Linked DNA regions of Elephas maximus indicus. The main gene of each other region encodes a partner of the protein of the gene in region 2 in a complex. Links are inferred from orthologs where the notes say so. Each region holds a gene or a part of one and is shown on either strand. Other genes may lie near its edges. The genes, in order: NCAPH2 and SMC4.

Region 1 (14,861 bases), on a different chromosome or scaffold from region 2:
GGCTGGTGTGAGCAATGTGTCTGTCCCTCAGGCCCTGAGGCAGGGAGCCCACACTGTCCAGCACCCCTCCCAACAGCAAGACACCCCAGGAGAGCCCTGAGGGGCTGCTTACACTGGAAGCCTGGCTGTTCTTCAGGTCCACACAGGCCCGGGCATCAGGCAGCTCATCCAGGGACAGGAACTATGAGAAAAATGAGTCATGGACGCACCCAGAGCCAGGAGCTGCAGCGCCAGGCAGGGCCACCCGCCAAGATGCCTCACCTCATCCTCTGGCTCTTGGGGGGCCCCAGAGCCAGCAGCCCCAGCAGCCCCGTCCTCCTGCACCGAGGAGAGCTGCTTCGCCTGTCTGGGAAAGAGGGTCCTTGTGTGGGCTTCAGAGGAGGCATGGGGCCTCCCCAGTCACCACCTCCAGTATCACCCACAGTACTCACTTCTTGCCAGAGATGAAGTCGAGGGCCTGGTAGACCAGCGAGTAGAGGTACTCCACCTGCCGCCAGAGCACAAGTGAGGAGGCAGAAGAGCGGGCCCACTCCAGCCACCCCACCCTAGTCCCTGGGGCCTCCTATACCAGGACTGTGCGCACCCAGAGGCCTGGCCTTATCTCCAAGACCCTGAGCACAAGTCCTACCAATTCTACTGCCGAAACTACATCTGAAATCGAACCAGCATCTCCAGCTAATTACTGATGGCTGGAGGCCCCCGCCCCTCCCACCACCACTGCACACAGCAACCAGTGAGGCCTTCTGAAGGCAGACTCAGTCCAGCCCTGGCTCCCCCAGTGCACTCCCTCACTGGCAGCGCCCCTCACAGCCACGCCCACCCTCCTTGCCCCTCCCACCAGGAGCCCGAGGTCAGCTCCTGCTGTTCTCCTGCCCCCTCAGGCCTCATGCCACCTCCACAGCAGCGCCTGTGAGTCTCTGCTGGCACCGAGGCAGCTCCAGCCACAACCTTGTTTCCTGTCTAGAATAGGAGGACCCACTGAGTAGGGGGAAGGGGCTCGGGCCTTTGAGATGCCACGACGAGACTGCCGGATGACAGAGCAGGGCGCACAGGTGCCACCCTATGTGCAGTATACCCTTGCCTTAGGTGTTACTCGTACAGGCAGTAACGGCGCCAACAACACACGCACCCTCTCTTCTTGGCCACATGAAGCCATTTTAAATCCAAGCTTGCTCTTTAGTGTTACAAGGACTCGGGAGTGGAGGCTGGGATGCTGGGAGGTCAGGTCAGAGGAGGACAAGCCCCTGGCCTGCCGCACATCCCAGCCCGTCCCAGCGCAGGCTCACCTTCTTACTGTAGACACAGGCAGAGCCCTGGATCAGCAGCGCTGCCTCAATGAAGTTCATCGTAGTCTTGCCTTCATCAAAAGAAATGCAGATCTGGTCCAGCTGCAAGACATCCGCAGGGGTGGGCAGGAGCCCCATGCTAGTGTGGCTTCCCCTGCAGTGCCCCCCTCCCCTCCCCCCTCCTCCCCTCGGCAGCCCCCCTCACCCCCTCCTCTCTGCAGCCCCCCATCTGCAGGCCCCTGCTCCCTCTGCAGCCCCCTGCAGCCTTCCCTCTCCCCCTCTGCAGCACCCCCTCCATCTGCAGCCCCTGCCTCTCTGCAGCCCTCTGCTCCCTCTGCAGCCTTCCCTCTCCCCCTCTGCAGCACCCCATCCTCTTCTGCAGCACCCCCTAGTGATTCTGACAGCGCTGGATGGAGAGCAGACCACCCCTCCGCTGACAGATCTGACTCCACTGTGTGTTCACCTTTTTTGTCATTCACCTACTTCCTGTAATCTCTGGGACCTAGCGTATTTAAAAGGGAGGCTCCCAGAGTTGACTGTCTACCAAATGGCCAGAGCCACTCACATTCCTGTGAGGCACGGGGAGGGCGTTCTATGACACTCCCCCAAGTCAGAGCCCCACCCTAACAGTCCCAGCACACAGACCCCCCACCCTAAGAAAAGAGAAACCCCGGGGGTAGGGAACACAGACGTAGAACAACAGGGTCTCCATCCTTGGAGCAGAGAACCCAGGAGACACTTCTGGTAGGTTATCTTCCTTCCCCTTCCACCACGCCGGCCTTCTCTAAGCCCTTGTTCCCCTGCTCACCCAGAAACATTAGCGCCCAGGGCTTGCCTTGGCCCTCCTCTCTTCATGACTCATCTGCTCACCTGTGAATCCACCACCCATCTACCAGACTGCCAGGCTTGCACTCATGATTCTCAGACCTCACCTCCAGGACCCTCTCCTGCTGCTTACTGGATGGCTCCACCAAGATGTGTTCCTGACCCTCCATCTCCAGGCCTGACTCACTGTCCCCCCAAGCTGGCCCTCCACTGTGCACCTCTCTGTGATGGACACTCTGAAGGCTCCCTGGTATTTCCTCAAGCCTTTCTGCCCTTGCTTTGCCATAGGGCACCTTCCCCCAGCTATCCCCCAGACACAGGTACCCCCAACTCTGCTCTAATGTGAAAGATTCTGCAGCCCCCCCCCCCACTTGCTCCCGCAGACGCAGACCCAGCTCTGGGCACCCTTGCACGGCTCCATCACCAGGGTAGGCTCACGCACTGGAGCCGTCCCCTGCCTCTTGTCCCCTCACTGGGCTGGGAGCTGCTTTAAATTCCAGCCCCAGGTTTGGAGCCTGACACTGGTATCAATAAATATCTGATGAACATGTCAAGTAGTGATGTCAGAGCTCAGCCTAAAAAATGGACATTTGCCAAACAAACGAAGGGAGACAGCCCGGCAGGAAGAGTGGCCACCATGCAAGGGCAGTGAGCCAAGAAGGGTACAGCTGCTTAGGAGAACAAATACTATTCAAACACAGCATCACAAAGAAGGGGGAAAGCCTGGGAAGATGCCACCAAAGGGAAGATGCTTCTACTGACTCTTGAGGGGAGAGAGGAGTGTGTAGGGTCAGGGGGAAGGAGGACAGAGGAGCGCCATTGTGGGGGAAGCACAGCATCAGGACACGGGGAAGGGCCCGCAGGGTGGCAGGCTGGAGCACCTACACCACCTGTCTACGCTTCCGATGGCTCCCAAATACAGCTCCAGTTTGGACTTCCCTTCTGCGCTAAACCCACAAGTCCAGCGCCCACTTCAGATGTCCATCGGATGTCTTAATGGGAATTCATACTAAACAAGTCCACGCTGAAGTCCAGATAACCTCTGACACAAACCACCTGCCCAGAAACCCTGGAGTCTAACTCCTTCTCACCTCCTGATCCCACCTGTCCCAGTTCCTTGTCAATGCCCTGCTGTGCCTGTACCCTGACCATGTCACTCTGCTCTGGGTGACAGCCCTGCTCTTGCCCAGCCAGCTCCACTCTGGCCTGGACCACAGAATCCAACAGGGCTCTCCTACCCTCTCTTCCCTTGCCTATGCTCAGCACTCTAGCCAGCACTTGTCCTAAAGTGGACCACAACGTGCCCTCAGAACCCTAATGGAAAACCCCAAATTCTAAACAGAGCCATGTGACCACGCAGGCCTGCTTAGAACCTTCCCACACCTGTCCCTCTGCCTGGAATCTTCTTCAGCTCACTTAACTAGGCAGCTGGTTTCATCATAAAAGAGAGAGATCCCCAGTCAAACTCTTCATGGAACCTCAAACGTTTCTTTCAGAACTCAGGTAGCCTGTGACTATACGAAGGTGCTGTGCAGTGGCTGGGAACACAGACTCTGCTCTGCCCCTTGCCAGTCGTGACTGGGCATGGCTAACTTTCCCATGCCTCGTCTTCCTCATCTGTGAGAAGGGGAAGAACCACCTACACCAGTAGGGGTTTCGTGAGGATTAAATGAGCTCATATGCACAGAGCACAAAAAGCACTAACTACAACACCGTGTGGCTACTTCTTTAAGACTCATCTTCCCCACCGACTGGGGGTCCTATTAAAGCAGGAGCTGTTGTCTGGTCTGCTTCCCACTATTCCCTAGGGTCTAACACAGCTAGACACTGAACAACGCCACACTACAGCGGATCAGTTTTACATGGCCTTTCTCATCCATGGTCTTGTAACTCCCACCAAATGGCTGAATGGGGCTGTGCAAATAAGGTGCTTGTGTCCCACCAAGAGGACTGGATAGCTTGATAATAATGCAATAATAGGGCATGGCACCCTTGGCAGGGGGTATGGGACCATGCAAAGAAGGTGTATGGAACCCTAATGAGGGAGTTGGCCAGTTTTGCCATCCCGCTAGGCTTAAAATGAGCCATCCCATAAGCAGAAAGAGGGGACCTGACTACCACCAAGAATGACAGGATGGGAGCACATCCTTTGGACCTGGAGTCCCTCTGCTGAGAACCCCCTAGACCCAAGACAGAGAGAGAGAGAGCTGTAACACCAGAGATGGTGCAAGACAGTGAGAGGCAGCAGCAGAGAAACGGCCGCAGCAGTAGCAGGAGACCAGCAAGAGACGGTGTGGTGGGCTTCCTGGCCCACAGAGCAAGGCGGTTACAGCGGGTGTGCCGACCCATGGAGCAAGAGAGCTGAGCGCCTTCACACAGAAACGTTCCTGATGGAGTGGGATGCCCCAGGCACTTATTGGCGGAGCTAGGCTTGCTGACCCACGGAGTGAGAGAGCGGAACACCTTCAGGGTGAAGCTTGCTGGCGGAGTAGGGTGCCCCCCGGTACTTATTGGCAGAGCTATGAGGGCTTTGTAACACTTGCCTGAGCAGGGCAGAGGCTAAGGCAAGGGTCCGAGAGGCCAAGGACCAAAGAGAGGCCTGCCAGTGGGTACAGGTGAGAAGAGGTTGTCCTGATCTTGAAGAGCTGTATCTTGAGTCATTCCTGACCCTGAATTGAAACCTGTTACTTCCCTAATAAACCCTAATAATGGTCTCTGAGTTCTGCGTGACCCTTGCAGCGAATCATCAAACCCAGCAGAGAAGTAGAGAGTGCCGCAAGGAGAGAGGTGGCATGTCTGACCTCCACCTCGTAACAATCAGCCTCGGGGCACTGAGGCTGATAATGATTCACCTCCTGCCTTATGAAGCTGGTGGTTACAGGCACCGAATAAATAAATGGATGAAACAGGACAGCAACATGGCATGTCAAAAAAGAACGTTCTGTTAACTATGTGGAAGGTAAAAAGAAGGGAAAAGGCAAAACTAGAGGCTGGAGATCATGACATCAGGGCCAGAGGTTTGTGAGCACAGAAACAGGCAGGAGGGCAGCAGGAGGAAGCAGATTTACCAGGTGTCACCAAGGCCTTGCTCAGTGTGGAAACCTGAATCCACAGTAACTCCACCTGGCACAGTTCTCCACATTTTCTCAGCAGGCTGAATGTCAGGGCAGAGAAGATCACTCACCAGATCAGTGTTCACACAACAAATATTTATTCCACTCCTACTGTGAGCCAGGCATTCAATAAGGCAGAGAGAAGAGGGCAAAGACGTGGCCCCTGCCCTCACAGAACTTACACACTAGGATAGATACAGACCACAAACAAGTAAATAAGTTAAAGAGCAGATCACAAAAAGTACTCTAAAATGCATAAGGTACATGCATAAGGTACCCTGGGAGACTGAACTTTATTAGATAGTTGTCAGCTGGCACTGAAGCTGAAATCTAAAGATGAGAAAAAATTAGTCATACAAAGAACTGGGGAAAGATTGTTCCTTAGTTAGAGCAGAACATATGAAGGCCCTCAGGCAGGAAGAAGCTAGAAGGTGTCAGGTTGACTGACATGAAAGAGTAAGGCAGAGAATGGCCTAAGATGAGGCTAGAAAGGTAGCAGGGCCAGACCCAGAGGGGCCTGGAAGCCACAGGGAGGAATTTGGGTTATATTCCAAGTGCAGCGGAAAGCAGGGATGGGCTTTAAGCAGCAAGGTGATGTAGCTGGATTTTATTTTCTAAGAGCCACACTTGCTGCTGGATGGAACATGGATTGCGGGGGGTCAAAGGCAGAGGTAAGGAGCTGCTGGGAAGATTTCACATGATTCAGAGATGCTGGTGGCCTGGACCAGTGAAAATGGAGAGCAGGTGAATTCAAGCAATACTCTGGTGGTATAGGAGACAGAATCCATGGATAAACGGGGTGCACTGCATGGGGTTTCACCTGAACAGCTCTTACCTTTCACTTTCAGTAGCTGGTTGAACAGTGGTGCCATTTACTGAAATCAATGACTGAGGTTTGAGCAGAAAAATGAAGAATTGCACTTTAAATACCTTAAATATTTATGTGACAAATCAGCGGAATGTCATATGAGCAGCTAGAAACACAAAAATAGATTCAGAAGAAAGATCTGGGTGGAGATATAAATTTCGGAGTTAAAATGATGCAGATGTTTTTTAAAATCGTGGAAATAAATGAGATTGTTTAAGGGCGGAAGTGCCAAAATATGGCTGGCCCTTGCCCTGAGGAGCGATTAGACAGGAGAAAAAAGGAGCCAGTGGCATAAGAAGGAAATCAGAATGCCCTGTCAAGGAACCCAAAAAAAGACACCCTTTCAAGTAAAAGGGAGCCATCAACTCCAACAAAGGCTGCCGCTGGAGTAAGCTAACACTTTTAGCGTCCCTTGGATTTGGTACAATGAAAGTCGTTGTTGATCAAGAAAAGAGCAGTTTAAGTGTAGGGGAAGCCAGGCTGGGCGGGCTGAGGAGAGGGAGGTGCAAAAGTGGAGCCGGCGGCTCCTTAGTGGAGGTGGCACTGCTAACTGAAAGGTCGGTCATTCTAACCCACCAGCCTCTCCGCAGGAGACGTGGCAGTCTGCTTCCGTAAAGATTAAAAAAAAAAAAGATTACAGCCTTGGAAACCCTATGGGGCAGCTCTACTCTGTCCTATAGGGTCGCTATGGATCCGAATTGACTTGATGTTAAAGGGTAGGCACGGCTGTCAAACACGGAAGAACGATTAATGCTGGCAGGATGAACATGGCAGTGGCTGAAAAGCGGTCTGGAAACCCACTGCAAGAAACCCTTTTGCACAGTGATCCAAGTTTCTCTCTCACATACACATACACAAATATGCACACAATAACTAAAACAAAATGAACTTTAATAGTTTCTAGTCTGCTCTATTTCATCTGAGAAAACTGCTTGTCACAACTCACGAAATCGACTTCACGGCTCACCAAAGAGCAGCGACCTGCAATTACGACTCCTGGCGAACCTCACGAGGAGGTGACTTCGGGAGGCAATGATGCGGTTGGGAAAAGGAAGCAGTAAGGAGCCTGGGGACGAGCGAAGCCGGGGCGCCGGAGGGCCGCCGACCTGGAGGCTCACGCCGCGCCACTCCCCCGCCGCCCTTACCTCCTCCAGATACTCGCCCAGCTGGGCCGCCACGTCCACCTCCCAGTTCTTGGTGAGGTCCCGGATGGGCTGCAGGAGATGGGCAAAGCGCGCCTCTACGTCCTCCATGTCCGGGAGGGGCCGGGCGCGCGGCAAGAGCGGGCCGGGACAGCAGGATCTGCTTCCGAAGGGGACCGACCAGTGCCCTCAGCCCGCCACCAGTTCTGGCGCCATTTTGCTGTTCCCGCCCAGGAGAATACGTCGCACGCGTCGCCGCGCGCAGACCTATGACGTCACTCGAGGCAAGGCGGGGGAGGGAGGAAAGCCGCGGCGCGCGCTGGAGGTGGGGCAGGCGTCGAGGCGGGGCGGGGCGGAGCCAGCAAAGGGACGGGGCTTGCAGTTTCCCTCCGCGTGCTGGGGCGGGGCGGAGCCTGGAGGCTCGGGGCGGGGCCCGGTGGGCGGGACGGGGCCTGCCGGGCGGGGCGGGGCCTGCCGGGCGGGGCGGGGCCTGCCGGGCGGGGCGGGGCCTGCCGGGCGGGGCGGGGCCTGCCGGGCGGGGCGGGGCCTGGCGGCCTAGCGGCCTTGGCTGGCTCGTCTCCAGCCGGCCGCGTAGCGGACATGGCGGCCTCCAGGCTCCCGCGGCAGCTCTTCCTCCAGGGCGTGGCCGCCGTCTTCATGTTCGCCTTTGCTTCCCTCTACAAGCAGATCCCGGGTGAGGGTGCCGAGGGCGGGACACCCCCCGATCCGCGCTCGGGGCCTCGCGTCCGCTCCTCGCCTGGCCTGACCCTCTGCTGTCTGGGGGCGGGGGACAGGAGTGAGGTTCGGGCCTTAGTGCGTGGGGTGGGGGCGGCGGTCCGTATCCTGCGGGCCGCGGGGATGCTGGGGGCGGACGTGAGAGCAATGGTCTGCTTTCCACGTGGTTCCGGGCTCTGATTTGAGGCGGGGGGGGGGGGGCAGAACTGACGTGGGCGGGAGAAGCCTCTGCCCAGACGTGGTAGGGCAGGTAGAAGGGGAGGGCTCTGACCAGGAGGGGAGGGGAGCTGGGCTCTGCAGGGTGGGACTTCCCGACCTAGGGTGTCAGGTAGGCGCTCTGGGTCCTGGGGGGTGGGATCTGCAGGTTTGAGTGGAGGGTTCTGCAGACCCTGACCTGGGGTGGGGGACCTAGCCTGCAAAGACGGTGCCCCGGCCCTGATGTGCCCTCTCACAGGCCTATATGGTGCTGAGGGCATCCTGCCGGCTCGGAGGATGCTGCGGCCACAGGGCAAGGGGCGCTGGCAGCAGCTGTGGGAGATGCCGACGCTCCTGTGGGAGGTGCCAAGGCTGGGGCTGGACACTGCCCAGGGCCTGGAGCTGCTGAGCCTGCTGGGCACGCTGCTGGCTGTGGGCGCTGTGCTGCTCCGCCCACTGCGCCACCGCCTCACCTACCTGCTGCTCTGGGCTGCCTATCTGTCGGCCTGCCAGGCAAGTGGGGCCACCCTCTGTTCCCCGCCCCCACATCTCTGCCCTGCCCGGTGCCCAGACACACCCCTTTGCCCCCTGACAGCCCCTCTCCCTGCAGGTGGGCCAGGTGTTCCTCTATTTCCAGTGGTGAGTGGCTCCGGGCTCGGGCTGCAGGAGGGCTGGGCAAGTGTGTCTCACTCTGCAGGAGGCCCCTTTGAGGGCAGCGACTGGTGAGGGGGGCCCTTTGTACTCTTTTCTCTCCAATAGGGATTCCCTGCTTCTGGAGACTGGCTTCCTGGCTGTGCTGGTGGCCCCGCTGAGGCAGCCCCCGGTTCGCAAGCAGGACTCCCAGGGCAGGCTGACGGGAGCTGCGCCCCACGAAGACCTCCCCTTCTGGCTAGTGCGCTGGCTGCTGTTCCGGCTCATGTTCGCTTCGGGTGTGGTCAAGCTGACCAGCCGCTGCCCCGCATGGTGGGGGCTCACCGGTGAGGATCCTGGCCTGGAACCGGGGTGATCTGGGAGCTCCAGCTGGCCCTGATTGTCTGCCCCCCCACCCTGCAGCCCTCACATACCACTACGAGACACAGTGCCTGCCCACACCCGCTGCCTGGTTCGCCCACCACCTGCCTGTCTGGCTGCACAGGCTCAGCGTGGCAGCTACCTTCCTCATCGAGATTGCAGTGCCACCTCTGTTCTTCTCCCCACTCCGCCGCCTGCGCTTGGCAGCCTTCTACTCCCAGGTGGGTGGGGCTCAGCTTTGGAGACCCAAGCAGGGCTCAGCTCTGCTCAGCACTTCCAGGCAGGAAGCAGCAATGGCAAAGAATAGGGGTGTGGAGGGGTAGGCCCGCAGTGGGAGGATTACAGCCATGTTGAGGATATCGGTGTCTAGGTCAGCAGGAGCCAGGTGGGGAAGGACCACTTGCCATGTGCTGAGATCACGAGAACTGTGGAAGAGTCAAGCACTGGCTGAGGGCAGATGAGGTGGAAACGAGCTGGGGGATGGTGAGGGGTGTGCTCCCAAGCCACAACAGGGAGGGCTGTCTGCAGTGGAGACCAAGACAGATGTGGTCAGGGTGCTTGTGGTGGGGCCAGGCGCAGCAGGCTTTGAAGGGCTCCAGGGATGGCTTTCAGAAACTCTGAGTGCAGACCCCCCTAGGTCCTGCTGCAAGTCTTGATCATCATCACAGGCAACTACAACTTCTTCAACCTGCTCACCCTGGTGCTCTGCACTGCCTTGCTGGATGACAAGCATCTAGGTGTTGAGCGGGACCGCAGCCGCCGCAAAAAGATGCCTGCCTGTAAGTTCCCCCCTGTGGCCCCGGCTCTAGCTCCCCCATGGCCCGCCCACCCCCATCCCCAGTCAACCATGACTGTCCTCCCCATAGCCTGGCCCAGGGCCCTTCTGACCATGCTGGCCCTGCTGCTGGAGCTGGCTGTCTACGGGCTGCTGGCCTATGGCACTGCTCACTACTTCAGCCTGGAAGTGGACTGGGAACAACGTACCATCCACTCTAGAACCAGTGAGCACTGGCTGGGAGGGAGGGTGGGCTGCTCCCCTCACACCCGTCCTCACACCTGCCCCCAACTCCCCCTTCCCCACAGACTTCACTTTTCACCAGTTCTCCCAGTGGCTGAAGACAGTGACCCTGCCCACCATGTGGCTTGGTGGGGCCTCCCTTGCCTGGGAGCTGCTGGCTGCACTCTGGAGGTACATGGGCCAGAGTCAGGGAGGTAGAGGTGACAGCGGTATGCCCATAGGCCTGACCACCCTTAGTTCCCCCCAGGTGGACACAGGTGCGCGGGTGGCTGTGGAAGCTCTGGTCTGCGGTCCAGCTGTCCGTCTTTGGCACGGCCACAGTGGCCTTATTCACTGTCAGCCTGGTGGGTAGCTAGGGGAGGAGGGCGTGGGGAAGCTGGGGTGCACTGCGGGTGCTCAGAGCCGCACTGAGTCTCTGTTCATCTGTCTTCAGGTACCCTACTCCTACATGGAGCCGGGCACCCATGGGCGCCTCTGGACCGGGGCCCATCGCCTCTTTGGCGCCGTGGAGCACCTACAGCTGGCCAACTCCTATGGCCTCTTCCGCCAGATGACCGGTCTGGGTGGGCGGCCCGAGGTAGTACTGGAGGGCAGCTACGATGGAAACCACTGGACAGTAAGCCCCTGCAGGTGGGCCTCACGGTGGGTGGCCGAGTGGGCGTGGACCCAGCTGGCCACTGACTGTGGCACCATCTGGCAGGAAATTGAGTTTATGTACAAGCCTGGGAACATGAGCCGGCCTCCGCCCATCGTGGCACCTCACCAGCCACGCCTCGACTGGCAGATGTGGTTTGCGGCACTGGGGCCACACACACACAGCCCCTGGTTCACTGGCCTGGTCCTCCGACTGCTGCAGGGCCAGGAGCCTGGTGAGGGGGGGCCGGGCCAGGGTGAGGGAAGGTTGGAGGGAGGGGTGGGATGGGATGGAGAGGGGGTGGTGCTAGATGGGGGTGATGTGCAGGTGGGGCCGGCATGGAAAGAGCGCAGGGATGTGAAGGAGGACAGCCAGTCGGCCAGTCACTGGTGGGGATATGGGGCGGCCAAGGCTGAGCCAGGCTCTCCATCCCACAGTGATCCGCCTGATACAGGATGATCTCACCAGGTACCCCTTCCACAAACAGCCGCCCACCTACATTCGCGCCCAGCGCTACAAGTATTGGTTCTCACAGCCTGGGGAACAGGGGTAGGTTGGTGCACGAGGCGGGTGGGGGGGCCTGGGTCTAGACACGCACTGACCGCCAGACCTGCTGCAGCCGGTGGTGGCGCCGCCAGTGGGTAGAGCAGTTCTTCCCGCCCGTGGCGCTGGGGGACCCCACGCTGGACACACTCCTCACACAGTTTGGGCTTCAGGTAGGAGGTGTCAGTTGGCTGGGGGGGCTCAGGTGACTGCCCTCCGTGGACCACCCTCACTGTGTTCCCCCCCATGACAGGATAGGAGCCCACCGCGACCCCGCAGCACCAGCAGCTCCCTGCCCCAGGCCCTGCACTGGGTGCGGACCCAGCTATCTTCCGTGGGGGCCCCCGCCCTGCTCTGGGGCCTCCTTGTGGCCATAGGGGCCATCAGGGTGGTCCAGGGCCTGCTATCTGCCCACTCCCCACCCACCAGCAGGGAGGAGAAACACAGGACAGCCTCCAAGAAGGAGCCAGGAGCTGCCAGTGAACAGGCCAACCCCACCCCTGACAGCTGCAGCAGCGGGGCACGGACCCCCCGGCGAAAGAAGTAGCTGTGCTTCGTTGAGATGGGTGTCCCCAAGGGGGCAGGGAGGGTCCCCCAGCAGCGCAGGCCTCCCCTCAGCAGCACACGGCTAGCCACGAGTGCCTTAACCAACACTGCTGTGGCAGACGCAGATTGGCGTGCTGCCCCCCACCCATGAGGCTCTCCTGGGTGACCCTGGCTCCCTGTGGCTTCAAGGATCACTTGTCACCCCCATGCCTCCCATATATTCCTTGGTCTCAGCAATGAGCCCAGGGGGCGGCCCATGGCCCAGCAGCCCCATCACAGCCCTTCCCTGGACAAACCTTGCAGCTGGCAGGCAGGAGCCCCTTCTCCTCTGGTCCTCTCATGAGGGTCTGGGTCTGGAGTCCCCAAGAGGCAAGGAATGAGGCTGACTTGCTGAAAAAAGAGGCGGAATAGGTATTTGGATCTGTAAACCAATAAAGGTGTCTTTTGTGCCAAACCATGTGTCTAGTGGTCAAAGTAGCCCCTTCCCTGCTATGGAGTGGCCAGCCAGAGCTCTGTCCAGCTGGGCAGTGGCCTCAAGTCAGGTAGCTCTGCATCCCAGCCTAGCATTCTCCGCACAGACTGATGGATGCCCTCAGGCCTCCCAGCTCCATCCTGCAGGGCGCAGAGCCAGGCGGTGGGATGTGGGGCCAGACTCGTCCAAGGGAACACAAGGGCTGGGGGACCTGCCAAAGCCCAGCCCTTTTCTTCCACTCCAGCAAAGCCACGGCACTGGACCGACTTAGGCAAGGCATAAAGGGAGGTTGGGGGCAGCCACCATGGGGCATGTGGTCCAGGTGGATGGGGGGGCCCAAGGAAGGTGCCCACCCTGGATGCTCCGGCGGATGGGGGGAGGGAGCAGGAAGGTGGATGGAAAGAGAGAATATGTCTAGCAACCTCTGCCCTCCAGTTTGGAGACCTAGGCAGGCAGAGGCACTGATTCCTGGGAAGAGGATGCGGGGAGCCTGGGGTGGGGGCTAGGTCCAGACTTCTGCTGGGTCCTGAGGTCTGTGGCTCTCGCCGGGGGTCACCCCTCTGTGGGAAACTCACAGCCCAGCTGCCCTGCTCCTACTCTGTCCTCGGCTCCCAGGCCCCCTGCTTTCCCTCACAGACCCCTGGAGTGTCCCGTATGCCCAGCTTCTCCTACCCCACTCCCTGCTCCCTCCAATGGACCCTGTGCCCCCACAAGGCATGGTTTCAGGGGGCCTGAGCCTAGAGCTTTTGGATGCCTTCAGGGGTTCTCGTTGGCTGCCTTAGACTTGACGCCCAACTAAGGGCAATCCCATGCACAAGGGAACAAAAGGCTGCCTGGTCCCGTGCCATCTGTATGATTGGGCTCTTGAACACTGAAAATACGACCTACAGGTCTGGCTTTACTTTAAAACAGTTGTTGTGTGCCATCAGGTAATTCTGACTCATAGCAACCCCAACACGTCTGTGAGTTTGTCCCACTGCAGGGGCTTGTGTGTTGCTGTGATGCTGGAAGCTATGCCACCAGTACTCAAATACCAGCAGGGTTACCTACGGAGGACAGGTTTTAGCAGAGCTTCCAGACTAAGAGACTAGGAAGAAGGACCTGGCAAACCACTTCTGAAAAGAATTAGTTAAAACCTTATGAATAGCAGTGAACATTTTCTGATACTGTGCCGGAAGATGAGCCCCCCAGGTTAGAAGGCACTCAAAAGACTACTGGGGAAGAGCTGCCTCCTCAAAGTAGAGTCGACCTTAATGACATGGATGGAGTAAAGCTTTGGGACCTTCATTTACTGACGTGGCATGACTCAAAATGAGAAGAAACAGCTCCAGACATCCATTAATAATCAGAATGTGGAATGTAAAAAGTATGAATCTAGGAAAATTGGAAATTCTGAACAATGAAATGGAAAGCATAAAGACCTGTATCCTCGGCCTTAGTGAGCTGAAATGGACCGGTATTGGTCATTTTCAACTGGACAATCATATGGAAACCCTGGTGGCGTAGTGGTTAAGTGCTACGGCTGCTAACCAAGAGGTTGGCAGTTCGAATCCACCAGGCACTCCTGGGAAACTCTATGGTGCAGTTTTATTCTGAAAAAAAAAAAAAAAAAAATTTTTTTTTTTTATGGGGTCGCTATGAGTTTTATGAGTAGGAATCGACTCAACAGCAGCGGTTTAGTGGGTTATGGTCTCCTATGCCAGGAATGACAACTAGAAGAGGAATGGTGTTGCAGTCATCATCAAAAAGAACATTTCAAGATCTATCCTGAAGTACAACACTGTCAGCGGTAGGATAATATCCACACGGCTACAAGGAAGACCAGTTAAAATGACTATTATTAAAATTTACGCACCAACCACTAAGGCCAAAGATGAAGAAATTGAAGATTTTTATCAACTTCTGCAGTCTGAAACTGATCAAACATGCAATCAGGATACCTTGATAATTACTGGAGATTGGAATGTGAAAGCTGGAAGCAAAGAAGGATGAGTAGTTGGAAAATATGGCCTTGGTGAGAGAAACAATGCCGGAGATCACATGATTGAATTTTGCAAGACCAATGACTTCTTCATCGCAAGTAACTTTTTCTACCAACATAAACAGCAACTAAACACATGGACTTCACCAGATGGACTACACGCTAATCAAATCAACTATATCCGTGGAAAGAGATAATGACGAAGCTCAATATCATCAGGCAGAACAAGGCCAGGGGCCGACTGCGGGTCAGACCATCAGTCACTCATATGCAAGTTCAAGTTGAAACTGGAGAAAATTAGAATAAGTCCATGAGACCCAAAGCACAGCCTTGAGTATAAACACCTGAATTTAGAGACCATCTCAAGAACAGATTTGATGCGTTGAACACTAATGACCGAACACCAAACGAATTGTGGAACGACATCAAGGACATCATACATGAAGAAAGGAAGAGGTCATTAAAAAGACAGGAGACAAAGAAAGACCTAAA
Region 2 (14,771 bases):
TTAACTGCTACGCCACCAGGGCTCCAAACCAATATATAGACGTTGTAAGAAATGAAATAATAAAACCCTTGGGAACTTCTAAAATTCAGTGCTTTTAACTTAAAATAAATTTTTACTTTTACTAAATTTACTTAGACTGTTAATCACTACCATGGGCCAAAGAGTTTATATACTTTATTCAATCGCTTACGTCTTGGATGGTGATTTAGGGTGCTGTCTCCAAGTTCCTAGGCCTCCCAAACCAAGACTAATTTTTAAGATAAATTTTATTCAGCAGGAGAGAAGGTAATAAAACCCACATACTTACCTTTAAATGATTTAAATCTCTAGTATAGCAGTCTAAGGTTATTATGATAAAAAATTTAATAAAAACCTAACACAAATCACCACTTTCTCTCAAACTTCTTACAGGGCACCATTAGTTCTCCCTAGCTCAATCCCTGTGTCTTCTTCCTACCAGGTGAGTTCCTAAGGTTCTTATCTGTAAATTTAACAGAACTGAATCTCATCTGTTAACTTGAAAAGTTTACCTCAGCACTATTTTGGGAGAAATGTTCAATACGATTTGTTAAGATCACACACACAAACAAAAGTACAGGTAATTACGAAGATAAATGATTTACACATTCCAGGTACTTCAGAAGCATATATTTAATATAAAGTGGAAAATTTAGAACTTATTTACTTCATTGGTAAGTTATTAGCTTCCTTTATTACTGAACCACATACAGGGAAGCTACAGTCAGGGAAAAAAATTATCCTTACAAAGGTTAAAATGCAGTCTACTCTAGTTTGATCAGTCTTTGCAAAGGTATAAAACTTTGAGTCATTATCCCAGAATGAAAGTAAAGAAAAAGCAGAGAATAGAAGATAAGCACTAAGCATGGTTTTCTACAACATGACAAGTTTCATCATCAAATTTAGTGCTATAAAAGAATATAACTTTTGATCTATAATTAACCAAATCAAGTCCCAGAATATAAAAGTTCAGCCATTTTCCAACATTTATTTTTAAATAAGTTTGGGTCATAGAGATACTACTAATGTACTGTGCCTGATAACGAGATATTTATACAGATTATTCCAAAATGATATTAATTTACCTTATATACTACATATACCTAAAAGTATTTTCTTTTTTTAGGTAATTGAAGAATAAAAATTTAAATGGAAGTAGAGACTACTATTTTTTAAGTATGTTACTGGGAACACTCAGTTACCCTAACAAAGCTTTTGACGTCAAATCAAAATTTTCAACTTATTTTAATATCAGTAGCACAAGACACTAAAGAATATTAACAGCAATTTATGTATCACAAACTAGTTTTGCTTTTATTATTATGTTCTTGCTGATTCTAAATAGGACCCAGAAAAAGATAGTTTCAAATAAAAAAGGGATTTTAAAATGTCTGATAAAGCCAAAGTTTTTTTTTTTTTTTTTTTGAAAAGTAAGGCACAAGAAACAAAAGATAAGGAATTTTCTTACCAAGCAATACCGGTAAAAATAAAAAACACAGAATCTCTAATAACAAAAACCGACTTAACACCTGGTACTTGATTTTTATACTCCTTTAAAAAAAAAACTTTTGTTCTTTAAGAGTTGTGATACTTAAAGAATGAGACATCAAAGTTACTTTCTCATTTACTAATAGCATTGGTTCAAGAAAGTAGGCCATTCTAAACAAAACAAAGCATCTATTTGAATAAACTTCTAATTTACCAGTGTAAGTATTAAAAAGATTAAATTAGGTGCTCAGGTAAATTTACCGAGCACAAAGTGTAGAGATTTCGATTTTCTTTTTTTTTTTGCCATATAATATTAGTAGACATAATAAGAACAAATATAAAGAAAACAGTACACTATTAAAAGACAGTGAATTCCACTTAAAATGTTACCTTCAAGGAGCTAAGGGAGCAGGGAAGCTAGAGGACTAAAAATGGAACAATCAGAACACAATTAATGAGAATGCTAACACAAGGTGAAAACCTTAATATCACAATCAATTTTTGTAGAAACTGTCAAAAGGGAACCTAACTTGCATTGTAAACTTTCACCCGAAACACAAATATATATATATAAAAACTTATCTTCAAGGCAAATAAAAACAAATGGTAAATAGATGCTGTATCCCTGTCACACTAAAGCAGCACAATAATATTGGGGTCTAATATTTACTTCACTACGCCAATATTTACGTGCTGCTAGAGTGGAACAAGCATGTCAGTCCATCCAAACATTGTAGTAGTATCTGATGATGAAAACCGTGTTTTGAATGAATTTCCTTAAATTTCTAGAGCAGCAAATAATGATTCGCATCTTGACTGTAGTATGTAAACCATGATGTGCTGCTACAGTACTTTAAGGCCTCGAAAATACAGGATTGATCCAACAGGGGAAAACCCCTACCTTTACTGAAAACAAAACAACACAACACAAGACCAAGAGAACCTATGAAATCTTTAATAAACTTACCTGTAAGATTAAAAATCTATTATGGTCCAAGTCAATTCCATGGCTTCGAAGAAGATTTCCAACATCCTTAAATGTCTTTTTCTTCCCACTTATGTGGTAAACAGAAGTATTATCTCTGTAGGCTGTTCTGGACACATAGAAGTTACTGTTAGGAATGACTTCATAATCATCTCCTTCCTGTTGTGAGAAAAAACAAACCCAAAAAAACAATCGCTGGTATTAAATAGGCATAGTCTACTTCAAATTTCACATTGGAACTAATTCTATGAATTAAAAACTTCATTGAACGTGCACACAACAAACTGGCAGTAATCCTCAGAAATAATCTTGCTTAGCAAGACGACATACTTCTCCAAGTTGTTTGGTTCCTGACTCACAGATCACAAAAAAAATACCAATCGACAACAGCAAAAACACTCAACCTCCAAACAAACCTAAAAACATACTGGCTGAGAAAACAGAGTTGATGAAGGGGGCCAAGAATTCTACCATGTTCAAAACAAACCCATTCAAATTATTAAATAATATTGACAGATTAAATTACTAGTTCATTAAAAAAAGCTACAGCAATAGACCATTCAAGGAAAAAGGAAGGTAGGCAGTGATACAGTGACACGGCAACGTTTTCTGGGGGTAAAGAGCACCTTTAATTGAAAGTAAAAAGAAAGTTGCAAATAATTGACAACTACATGCCCTGATTTTTTTTTTTTTTAACCAAACAGATTTTTAAAAAATCAAGGGCAAATCTCCTTTAATCTTAGAATTTGCTTTCCCTTACCCTTAAAAATAAAAGGGCTGTCACATTAACATTACGGCTTTTAAAAAATGCAGTCAAATCAAATATGATTTACTATGTATTCCTCAACCCAAAATGTACAATAGAAAACATTAAGAAAATTAAAAGATACTTCCATGTAGATTTAAAACCTGTTACATATATTGAAAGAAAAAGGTCCATTATGTAATTAGTTCCCCGTATTTTTATGTTCCACTGACATTTTTAAAGCATGAGTTTCCAAAGTTAACTATTTAAGCAAAATAAAACAAGAAACCAACAAAACAGTGCAAATAATCTAAATAGGTATTTTACTTATAATTGTCTCCACTTCTAGAAAGCAAACAGTAGTTTGATGACCTTTCCCGTTTAAAAAGGACTTAATCACAATAGTTCAAACTGAAGCAAAGCTCTCTCGTATTACAAACATACAGGACCACTAACAACGTTCACTTTCACATAAACATTAAGGATAGCAAAGTTAGTCAGTTGTAACATTTTCAACCATAGGTAATTTTTAAAAAGCAATTACATGGTAGGTTTTAAAATGATCCCAAAGTTTATAGTAAAACAATGTCTATTTGGCATGCAGGATACTAAAACTGCTCAACATTTTCTTTCAAAAAAGTAAAGATTAATACGAATTATTTATAATTCATTTCTCTAAAAATTTTAATATTTTAAATAGCCACTACACTCTCCAAAAAGCGAACGCAGCCAGAGGTAACGGAATCAATAATTGTTCTGCTTTAACTATATTCAAAATTTAAAAAGCCAATTTAAACCAAAAATACTGTGTAATATTTGTGTTCCCTAAATTTCAAAGAATCAAGTAGTGAAAATCCCTTACCTTATCAATTATCTTTTGGAAATGAACTTCTACAGTACAACTCTGAATATCCTTGTGCTCATCAGAATTATGTATTAGTACAGAGAGTTTTTTAGACCTAATTTTTTGTGCTCGATAGCCAAACACAAAAAGCATAGAGTCAATAACATTGGATTTGCCACTGCCATTTGGCCCAATAATACACGAAAAGCGCTGCATAAAAAGAACAGAAAAAAATTAAAGTTAAAGATGTCATACTAATACTACTGATTCTGAACTACTAATTTTTTTATCTGAAGTAAAACTACACACGTTTACAAGCTTTCATTGCTTGAAGACACCCAACTTCAACTTTTAAGTTTTTTTTTAAAGTGTTTTCCTCTCTCACAAGCTTTCACACCTAGAGACCATATTCTAACTGTAACCCACTTTTTTTTTTTTTTACGAAATTCATTTTTGTAGTTAAGGAAAACACTCCTTTCAAACAAAAAACTAATCAATTCTTCTTAGTGAAGAAACTTTATATGGAATGAGGTATTAAAGATATCCAGATAAACAAAAGCTAGTTTCAGATATTGAAGCATGAGAAACACTCGATATTTATCTATGCACATACACGATAAACACATCACTCAGCGTGGCTCAGAATAAACAGTTAAAAACACTGGAAAGATCATGTAAGAACTGATACCTCCGCTAACAGCAGTTACATAAGAGGGGCACATACCTTGTGAAAAGGTCCCAGAATTTTCTCCCCGGCGTAGGATTTGAAGTTCTGGTTCACGATGTGCGTTATCATCAGCCTGGGAGCGCCGGCTTCATTGGTCATCGCCGGAGGCGGCGGCGGAGGGACGCTGCCCAGGATTTCTTCTAAACTTCGGCTGTCGAGGTCCTCCCCGGGCGCTTCTAGGTCGGCGGAGGCAAGGCAGGGGGCCTCCCTTAGCGCAGGGAGCCGACCTCGGGGCGCGGCACCCCGCCTTTCCACCTGAGCCCAGGGAGGCTCCCCGCGCGCCTCAGCCCCGGACTCCGGGCCGCGCGCCTCCTTCCTTCTGCCACAGGTGCCTCAGGCCACGCGGCCGCGCCGAGGGCCCGCGACGTGCCCGCGGGGTCACAGACCAGGCACCGGCGCCGCCCGCGAACGGCCACCGGCCCTCGGCCGGCCGTGCCGACTTCCGCCGCGCCAGGGACGGGCGTCCGCGCCGCCACCAACCGGCTCCCACGCCGAGCTACGCGCTCGCCCCGTCCCCGCCGCGCCGGAGCGGCTTTCCCGGCCGTCGACGGCCCGGCCCCGACCCCCGACCCCCGACGCCCGCCCGTCCCGGGGCCCCGCACTCACCCGCGGCGGAGGAGCTCGGGCTCTCGGCGCGGCCGGACGGCGGCTCGGGCTCGGCGTCGGGGCTGGCGTCGGCCGGGGACCGCGGCGGCTCCTCTCCGCGCCGGGCGGTGGAGGGCTGGGCGCCTTTGCGGGGCATGGTGGCTGGGCGGGGAGAGCCCGAGCCAGTCAGCCCGCGGCGGGGGCGGCCTCCTCCAGGCGGGCCGGCTCGGCCCCCCGCCCCGCTCCCACCGCCCCGGCCCTGAGCCCACACCCCGCCCGCCGCTCCCCGACCTCGTACCCCGCGCGCCGCTCCCCGACCTCGTACCCCCCGCCCGCCGCCCCCAGCCCTGACCCCATACCCCGCCCGCCGCTCCCCGACCTCGTACCCCCCGCTCCCCGACCCCATAGCCCGCCCGCCGCTCCCCGACCCCATAGCCCGCCCGCCGCTCCCCGACCCCATAGCCCGCCCGCCGCTCCCCGACCCCATAGCCCGCCCGCCGCTCCCCGACCCCATAGCCCGCCCGCCGCTCCCCGACCCCATACCCCGCCCGCCGCTGCCCGACCCCATAGCCCGCCCGCCGCTCCCCGACCCCATAGCCCGCCCGCCGCTCCCCGACCCCATACCCCGCCCGCCGCTGCCCGACCCCCGACCCCAGCCCCCCGCTCCCCGACCCCATACCCCGCCCGCCGCTCTCCGACCTCATACTCCCAGCCTGCCGCTGCCCGACCCCCGACCCCCGCTCCCCGACCTCATACCCCCAGCCCGCCGCTCCCCGACCCCCAACTCCGTCGGGGAAGAAGCCACAATAAAACCGAAGGGCAGGAAGGCGGGATGGTTTTCTCAGGAAGACCTGGGCAGGTGGGGAAGCCCAGACGTGCCCGGGAACCAGCCAGTTAACCCTCCAGGTTTTTCGGGACCCTCGGCCCCGGGGCGCCCCCAGTGTAGCCGCACAAACTAACTCGCCGACGACCCGACCCCACACGCAGCCGACGCCGACGGACGTGCCCGCTCTCCGGCGTAGGCAGCAGCGCGCCTCGGCCCCGAGCGGCCGCCGGCCCTCCCAGGCCACCCAGGAGGGAGCCCCTCGCCGCCGCGGGCCGCTCGGGGGCTTCGCCGTCTCCCCTCCCCGCGCGACCCCGAAAGGGCGGCCGAGGGCTGGGTCGGCGGCGGCGATTCCCTCCTCAGGACGGCCCGCGGCCGAGCGCCGTTAGACGGAAGTCAGCCGGGAAGGGTCGCCAGCGAAGGCTCAGAGGCGGCCGCCAGTCCCTCGGGGGCGCCCGGAGGGCCGGGCTCGGGCCGGGGGCACGGCTTTCCCCGCAGAAGCGGCCGGCCAGGCGGCAGCCCGCCCAGGGGACGCCCGCGGAGCTGAGCGCCGCGCTCGGGAGAAGCGCGCGGGGCCCGGACCGCGGGAGCGGCCGGGGGGGGAGGGGTGACAGCGGGGAAGCCGCTCGGCGGAGCCTCGGGACCGGCTCCGCGGTCCGGCTCCCGGCCTCTGCTCTCCGGGCGCCCCGGGCCGCTCGGCAGCCAAGGATCCGACCACCCGGCCGGGAAAGGAAGTACTTTACCTGCGGGCCAGTCCAAGGTTGGAGACGGTTGCGGAGCCCACCGCGCTCCTGCCGGTGTCTCGGCTCCGGGTGCTTCACTCGAAAATGGCGCCTAAAATACAAACTCGAACGGAAATTCGTTACAAACGCGCGCAATGCTTTCTGGGATCCACTAATTTGAAAAAAAGTGCGGCGATTACCGCCGCCATCTTCTGGTCATTCTTGCGCAAGCGCAAACTCCGGGCGGACCCCGGGCGGTAGGGGACGTTCGTCCTAAGTGAAAACGGAGGAGAAGGGAATGTTTACCCAGCGGCCAGTAGCAGCAGCACTATTATAAACACCACATTTAAAAAACGTGGCGGTTTTTGAAAAAGAGAAAAAAAAAATAGAGTCGGGTTCCGCCCACAGCTGAAGGCGAGGCTCAACGTCCAACGACGCCCCCTGAGGAGCGGGCGGGCGCGCTGCGGGGCGGGGCCTCGGCTCGGCTCCGTGACGCGCCGTGCGGTGCGGGGGGAAGTATCGCGGGAAGGCGGGGAGCGTTGCTGGGAGACGTCACTATGGTGACTGCCCAGGCTCTGTGAGGCCAGTCTCCTCCGCTTCACTGGGACCTGAGGTAAATCTCGTCAGCTCCGGACGCGGCCAGGAAAGGGCTCCTCGTTGTAGCCAGCACCTTTCCTGCTTTGAGGGTGCGTGTGGCACGGAGCACCTGTTACAGTCTGTCTCCCTGGGGTACAGGGGCTTTGGGCGTAGCTTTTGGGGTACCGAGGAGCCCAGAGTTTGGGGGGCGGGGGGCGCCAGGAGAAGAGGAGAGCCTGGATTAGTGGTTGCTCGTGTACGCCATGTGGGAATAGCAAGGTAATGACTGTCGAGTTATTGGGGTTAGGTCATTAATGTTATTAGTGAAAGGGAGTTTCGGGCTTTTCAAATTATTTGACAAAAGGGCTCCGCAACGGAAGAAGCAATTTGCTAGTGTCATTTGGTTATTTTTATCGATCGGCAAACATTAAGGGGCTACTGTATACATGGCACCGTGCAAGACAAAATCAGGATTGTCAAGCAAGTAGGAGAATTCCTGTCCCCAGAGAACTGAGTTTTCTTTTGGGGTTTTTAACCGGGGTCTTTGTATCCAGTGGTAGGCGATTTGGCTTCGGAACAATTCATAACCCCTTTGTCATGTTATACAAAATTCTGTGTGTTTGTACGTTTTTCTGGGGGGTTAGTTTTCCCAGTACTTTCTTCGCATTCTCAAACGTGCCTCTAGGCCCCCTCGGTGTTAAACAAACAAAACCACTGGTTAATTTGACGACCTCCAGTAAGGATTTACCCAGGACTCTTATGTACTCGACATTGAGGACTGGGAGTCTTTTTTTTTTTTTTTTAACCTTTTGCATACTTAGGGCCTACCTTAGAGCCTCGTTTATTAAAAGCAATAAATCTGGTTTATGAATGAATTTACATTGTCACTCTAAACATGTAATGGCTCCTGCCCTGAAGGAGCACACAGTCAGGTTCAGGGGTGAGGAGGACACGTTCTCCAAGTGTAATAATTTGCTGGGGTTGGGAGGCTGGTGTGGTTTGAATAAACAATAACTAGTTATTATAATATGCATTTATGTTTGCAGTTGAAAAAATAATCATCGTTTTCATAACACAAACTGCAGAAAATGAAGCTCATTGAGAAAGTTTTTGGCTGGTATTCATACCAAGAAGATCTAGTGGTTCTCTTTGATGGCTCTAGAGTCTTGTGGATTTTTGAATGTTGTAAAATTGATGCAAACAGTTAATGTACTTGGCTGCTAACCAAGCACTTGGGAAGAAAGGCCTGGAAATCTGCTTCTGAAAAATGAGCCGTTGAAAGCCCTATGGGGCACAGTTCTACTCTGACACACATGGGTTGTGAGTAACATAGCACAATGAGTATGAGTAACATAGCACAATGTAGTAGAAAAATATGATATAGATAAATGTTAGAACCCCAAATCTCATCACTTTTAGGTACATACTTTGACAATTTACTCAATTTATCAATCTCTCAGTATTTATATATAAAACCAGTGTTTAACACCTATCCCATAGGAATGCTTATGAGAAAATTTCTAGCACACATCCTATAAGCATTTGATGTTGCTATGTTTATGACGTTGACTTTGTTAGGATATGTACATGAAAAATGGGATGTCAAGTTGGAGAAGGAGTAGCTTATGGAAGGTCTTGAAAACCAGGCCAAGGATGTTAGATGTGATATGGAAGAAAATAGAGCTATTAGAAAAGTTTTGAGCCAAGGAGCAACTTGGTGAAAATAGGAAGAATAATTAACAGTAGTACGTGGATGTGCTAATGGAAAGAAACTGAAATCAGTCATGACTTTAGTTAGATCATTGCTGTACAGTTCTCCATGTGAGAGGTGAGAATTGCCAACATAGCAGAATGGAGAAACATCCGGAATCATTTTGGGGGAAAAATCTATATAGTTTATATAGGTTTTGATGGATGAGTATGAATTTAAAATCAGTCAGATACTGTTCTTTGTATGTGAATCCCTGAATTAATGACTAAGAGGTAGGAATAAAAATAAATCTTAAAAATGAATCCTAGTTTTAGTGCCCTTGATGATTGCTGTCAATATGGTAGGACTTAGTGACTGATGAGAAAATAACGTAGTTTCAACAAATCAATAAGCTGACCCACGGTCTTAGGTTTACTTGAATCTAACTACGCCCCATGAAGAACAAATATTTTCAAAGCAGGCTTAAATCAGGCTACATAATGAAGTAAACACATTTGTAACAAGCAGCTACAGGGTAGACTTTAATTTGGATATTTATATGTGCTATGAGAATAAGACCCCCACGTGTCTGTCAGTTTGTCATATGTACTGTCAGGGCTTGTGTGTTGCTGTGATGCTGGAAGCTATGCCACTGGTATTCAGATACCAGCAGGGCCACCCATGGAGGACAGGTTTCAGCTGAGCTTCCAGACTAAGACAGACTAGGAGGAAGGACCCGGCAGTGTACTGAAAAACATTAGCTAGTGAAAACCTTACGAATAGCAGCAGAACATTGTCTGATATAGTGTTGGAAGATGAGCCCCCCAGGTTGGAAGGCACTCAAAAGATGACTGGGGAAGAGCTGCCTCCTCAAAGTAGAGTCGACCTTAATGACGTGGATGGCGTAAAGCTTTCAGGACCTTCATTTGCTGATGTGGCACGACTCAAAATGAGAAGAAACGGCTGCAAACATCCATTAATAATCGGAATCTGGAATGTACAAAAGTATGAATCTAGGAAAATTGGAAATCGTCAAAACTGAAATGGAATGCATAAACATCGATATCCTAGGCATTAATGAGCTGAAATGGACTGGTATTGGCCATTTTGAATCGGACATATAGTCTACTATGCTGGGAATGACAACTCGAAGAGGAATGGTGCTGCATTCATCATTGAAAAGAACGTTTCAAGATCTATCCTGAAGTACAACGCTGTCAGTGATAGGATAATATCCATACACCTACAAGGAAGACCAGTTAATAAGACTATTATTCAAATTTACACACCAACCACTAGGGCCAAAGATGAAAAAATAGAAAATTTTTATCAGCTGCTGATCAAACATGCAATCAAGATGCATTGATAATTACTGGCAATTGGAATGAGAAAGTTGGAAACAAAGAAGAAGGATCAGTAGTTGGAAAATATGGCCCTGGTGGTAGAAACAATGTCGGAGATTGAATGATAGAATTTTGCAAGACCAACGACTTCTTCATTGCAAATACCTTCTTTCATCAGCATAAATGGCGACTATACACATGGACCTCGCCAGATGGAACAACCAGAAATCAAATTGACTACATCTGTGGAAAGAGACGATGGAAAAGCTCAATATCAGTCAGAACAAGGCCAGGGGCCGACTGTGGAACAGACCATTAATTGCTCATATGTAAGTTCAAGCCAAAACTGAAGAAAATCAGAGCATGTCCAGGAGAGCCAAAATATGACCTTGAGTATATCCCACCTGAATTTAGAGACCATCTGAAGAATAGATTTGACGCATTGAACACTAGTGACCGCAGACCAGACGAGTTGTGGGATGACATCAAGGACATCATCCATGAAGAAAGCAAGAGGTCACTGAAAAGACAGGAAAGAAAGAAAAGACCAAGATGGGTGTCAGAGGAGACTCTGAAACTTGCTATTGAGCGTCGAGCAGCTAAAGCAAAAGGAAGATTGATGAAGTAAAAGAACTGAACAGAACATTTCAAAGGGCCTCTCGAGAAGACAAAGTAAAGTATTATAATGTCACGTGCAAAGAGCTGGAGATGGAAAAACAAAAGGGAAGAACACGCTCAGTGTTTCTCAAGCTGAAAGAAGTGAAGAAAAAATTCAAGCCTCGAGTTGCAATAGTGAAGGATTCCATGGGGAAAATATTAAACGACGCAGGAAGCATCAAAAGAAGATGGAAGGAATACAAAGAGTCATTATACCAAAAAGGAATTAGTCGATATTCAACCATTTCAAGAGGTGGCATGTAATCCGGAACTGATGGTACTGAAGGAAGAAGTCCAAGCTGCGCTGAAGGCATTGGCGAAAAACAAGGCTCCAGGAATTGATGGAATATCAATTGAGGTGTTTCAACAAACAGATGCAACCCTGGAGGTGCACACTCGTCTATGCCAAGAAATATGGAAGACAGCTTCCTGGCCAACTGACTAGAAGAGATCCATATTTATGCGTATTCCCAAGAAAGGTGATCCAACTGAATGTGGAAATTATAGAACAATATCATTAATATCACACACAAGCAAAATTTTGCTGAAGATCATTCAAAAACGGCTGCAGCAGTGTATCGACTGGGAACTGCCAGAAATTCAGGCTGGTTTCAGAAGAGGACGTGGAACCAGGGATATCATTGCTGATATCAGATAGATCCTGGCTGAAAGCAGAGAATACCAGAGGATGTTTACCTGTGTTTTATTGACTATACAAAGGCATTCGACTGTGTGGATCATAACAAACTATGGATAACACTGCGAAGAGTGGGAATTTCAGAACACTTAATTGTGCTCATGAGGAACCTTTACCTAGATCAAGAGGCAGTTGTTCGGACAGAACAAGGGGATACTGATTGGTTTAGAGTCAAGAAAGGTGTGTGTCAGGGTTGTGTTCTTTCACCATACCTATTTAATCTGTATGCTGAACAAATAATACGAGAAGCTGGACTATATGAAGAAGAACGGGGCATCAGGATTGGAGGAAGACTCGTTAAGCTGCGTTATGCAGATGACACAACCTTTCTTGCTGAAGGTGAAGAGGACTTGAGGCACTTACTAATGAAGATCAAAGACAGCCTTCAGTATGGATTGTATCTCAACGTAAAGAAAACAAAAATCCTCACAACTGGACCAACGAGCAACATCATGATAAACGGTGAAAAGATTGAAGTTGTCAAGGATTTCATTTTACTTGGATCCGCAATCAACAGCCATGGAAGCAGCAGTCAAGAAATCAAAAGACACATTGCATTGGGTAAATCTGCTGCAAAGGACCTCTTCAAAGTGTTGAAGAGCAAAGATGTCACCTTGAAGACTAAGGTGCGCCTGACCCAAGCCACCGTGGTATTTTCAAGAGCATCATATGCATGTGAAAGCTGGACAATGAATAAGGAAGACCGAAGAAGAGTTGACGCCTTTGAATTGTGGTGTTGGCGAAGAATACTGAATGATACCATGGACTGTCAAAAGAAGGAACAAATTTGTCTTGGAAGAAGTGCGGCCAGAATGCTCCTTAGAGGCAAGGATGGTGAGACTGCGTCTTACATACTTTGGACATGTTGTCAGGAGGGATCAGTCCCTGGAGAAGGACATCATGCTTGGCAGAGTACAGGGTCAGCGGAAAAGAGGAAGACCCTCAGCAAGGTGGATTGACACAGAGGCTGCAACAATGAGCTCAAGCATAACAGCGATTGTAAGGATGGCGCAGGACCAGGCAGTGTTTCATTCTGTTGTGCATAGGGTCGCTATGAGTCGGAACCGACTCGACGGCACCTAACAACAACAACATGAGAATAAGACACTCAGATTGAGTGTGATTTTTGAGAAAAGCTTTAGGTAACAAGAAATAAAGACTTGGTTGATGGTTGCCAATACTTTGCATTTCTTGGGAAATTAAGAGTCTAATTATAAAAAGAAGCTGGTCGAACTATAACGGGGGGTTACAATCATTTTGTAAAACATAACCAAATCTCATCTTCCTGGTCCAGAACCATCTACCAACAATCCTTAGTGTAGTTTCAGGCGGTCTGAGAGGATAACCCCAAAGAGAAAAATTAGAATTAAAATCCACATTTGCAGTTCTTTAAGTGAACCGTTAAGTTTTGTGATCATTGTAGTATGTGTTTTGTCTGCCCTCTAAAAGTGTGTACAGCACTTAAGAAAGTCCGAACTTGGATTTGTGAGTAAATGTTTAAAAATATTAACCAATTAAGTTTGTAATAACTAATAAAATGAATAAAGATGAATTGTGTAAGTAATATATATTTACAGAACACTGCTTGACTAATATATCCTATATATTAATCAAATGTATTAATAAAGTTAGGTATATACAAAATACAGATAGTAATGAGTATTCCTCTTGATAATATAAGCCCACTAGTACATTAATCTTAATCTTACTGAAACTCTCACCTGATTTATCACAGAAAAATCAGGAAACGGGGAAGTGGAACAGTTTTTTTGCAGGGGGGAATAATTTTGAAAGATGAGTTTTTGTTCTTGTAGGTTGGGATTATGGGGTGACAGTCAAGAAGATGTATCCAACGGGCGGTAGAGGTAGAGAATATAGCTCAAGAGAGAAAATAAGATGAGATAGTGTTACAAAAAAAGATAGGAAGGAACACTAACCATAGATTGGGTGTTTTTAGGTTGTGAGACGGGAATAGCAACTGACTGGGGATATTGAGGAAAAGTCTATTGTTAGAATCTAGGAAGAAGAAGTAATTACAGTAATGTTTCAGGTAGGACCGTCTAGGTTAAAGTGACAGGATATCCAATCCAAATTGTCTTGAGAAAAAAAATTATTGGCTCCAATAACTAAAAAGCTAGGTGAGTGTAACTGGATTTAGGGACTCAAACAAAGACACCAGGATTTGGTTTCTTTTCTTTACTCTGCATTCCACTGTCTTGGCATTTTTCTCAGGCACCACTCAGTGGTCTCTGGCACCTCCAGGCTCTCCTGTGCTATGGTAAGATAGCTACAGTAACTTGAGCCTCAAATTCTCTAAAGTTAAAGACCAGTGGGTAAAGAGAGCTTTTTTTCCCCTTCATTCATTTGAATAAAAGTACTGGGCCACCTGTGAAACAGCCACTGTGTGGACGGAATGGAATGCTCTAATTGGCTTAAGGCTGGGTGTCATGCTGGCTCTGCTCAAGCCTAGAGTAAGGAAGGTGTCCTGAAAAGAAATTCTTTGCCGGTGGGAAAAGAGCGAATATATGTGGGATGATAAAAACAACAGTTTCACTACAAATAGTTAGCAATCATTGAGTGCTCACTTTCACTACAGAGCCCTGGTGGTGCAGTGGTTAAGCACTAACGCTGCTAACTGAAAGATTGGCAGTTTGAATCCACCAGCCATTCCTTGGAAACCCCACGGGGCAGTTCTGCTCTGTCCTATGGGGTCTCTATGAGTTGGAATCAACTTGATGGTAACAAGTGTGGGTTTTTTTTGGTTTACTTTCACTACAAATAGTTAGCAATTATTGAATGCTTGTTGTATTCAATCCATGGCATTTTCATTCGCCTCATATGCATGGGAAAGCTGGAAAATGAATAAAGAAG

What was found.
Region 1: the proteins of SMC4 (region 2) and NCAPH2 are in contact, whole or in part, in a cryo-EM structure (PDB 9F5W), measured with the Homo sapiens proteins. The link is inferred for Elephas maximus indicus from reciprocal best matches to the Homo sapiens genes SMC4 and NCAPH2. Residues at the interface, in NP_001002800.1 of Homo sapiens: Ile100, Leu101, Gly102, Pro103, Ile112, Gly113, Pro114, Ser117, Gln1151, Met1152, Leu1155, Phe1227, Lys1228, Ser1231, Ile1232, Phe1235, Tyr1236, Glu1239, Gln1240, Asn1253, Asn1254, Phe1256, Glu1257, Arg1261, Gly1264, Ile1265, Tyr1266, Lys1267, Thr1268, Tyr1269; in NP_689512.2 of Homo sapiens: Arg494, Ile495, Trp498, Glu499, Thr501, Val502, Leu505, Leu506, Gln509, Glu510, His512, Phe547, Cys550, Arg551, Met553, Leu554, Leu557, Gln558, Ala560, Asn561, Tyr563, Val565, Glu566, Ile567, Gln569, Leu573, Glu574, Ala576, Val577, Asp578.

The regions. Positions count from the first base shown.
Region 1 is NC_064822.1:196,870,455-196,885,315, reverse strand, and holds the start of NCAPH2 (condensin-2 complex subunit H2), read right to left. Parts: upstream 7,486-14,861; 5' UTR 7,346-7,485; coding exon 7,238-7,345; intron 1,389-7,237; coding exon 1,287-1,388; intron 488-1,286; coding exon 432-487; intron 347-431; coding exon 262-346; intron 182-261; coding exon 113-181; intron 1-112. Other genes in the region: LMF2 (lipase maturation factor 2), read left to right, coding at 7,835-7,928, 8,424-8,677, 8,775-8,803, 8,924-9,141, 9,218-9,396, 9,813-9,954, 10,042-10,176, 10,259-10,364 and 6 more. UniProt on the Homo sapiens protein: Regulatory subunit of the condensin-2 complex, a complex that seems to provide chromosomes with an additional level of organization and rigidity and in establishing mitotic chromosome architecture.
Region 2 is NC_064841.1:318,891-333,661, forward strand, and holds the start of SMC4 (structural maintenance of chromosomes protein 4), read right to left. Parts: upstream 7,365-14,771; 5' UTR 6,959-7,364; intron 5,555-6,958; 5' UTR 5,550-5,554; coding exon 5,414-5,549; intron 4,984-5,413; coding exon 4,805-4,983; intron 4,291-4,804; coding exon 4,099-4,290; intron 2,651-4,098; coding exon 2,474-2,650; intron 1-2,473. UniProt on the Homo sapiens protein: Central component of the condensin complex, a complex required for conversion of interphase chromatin into mitotic-like condense chromosomes.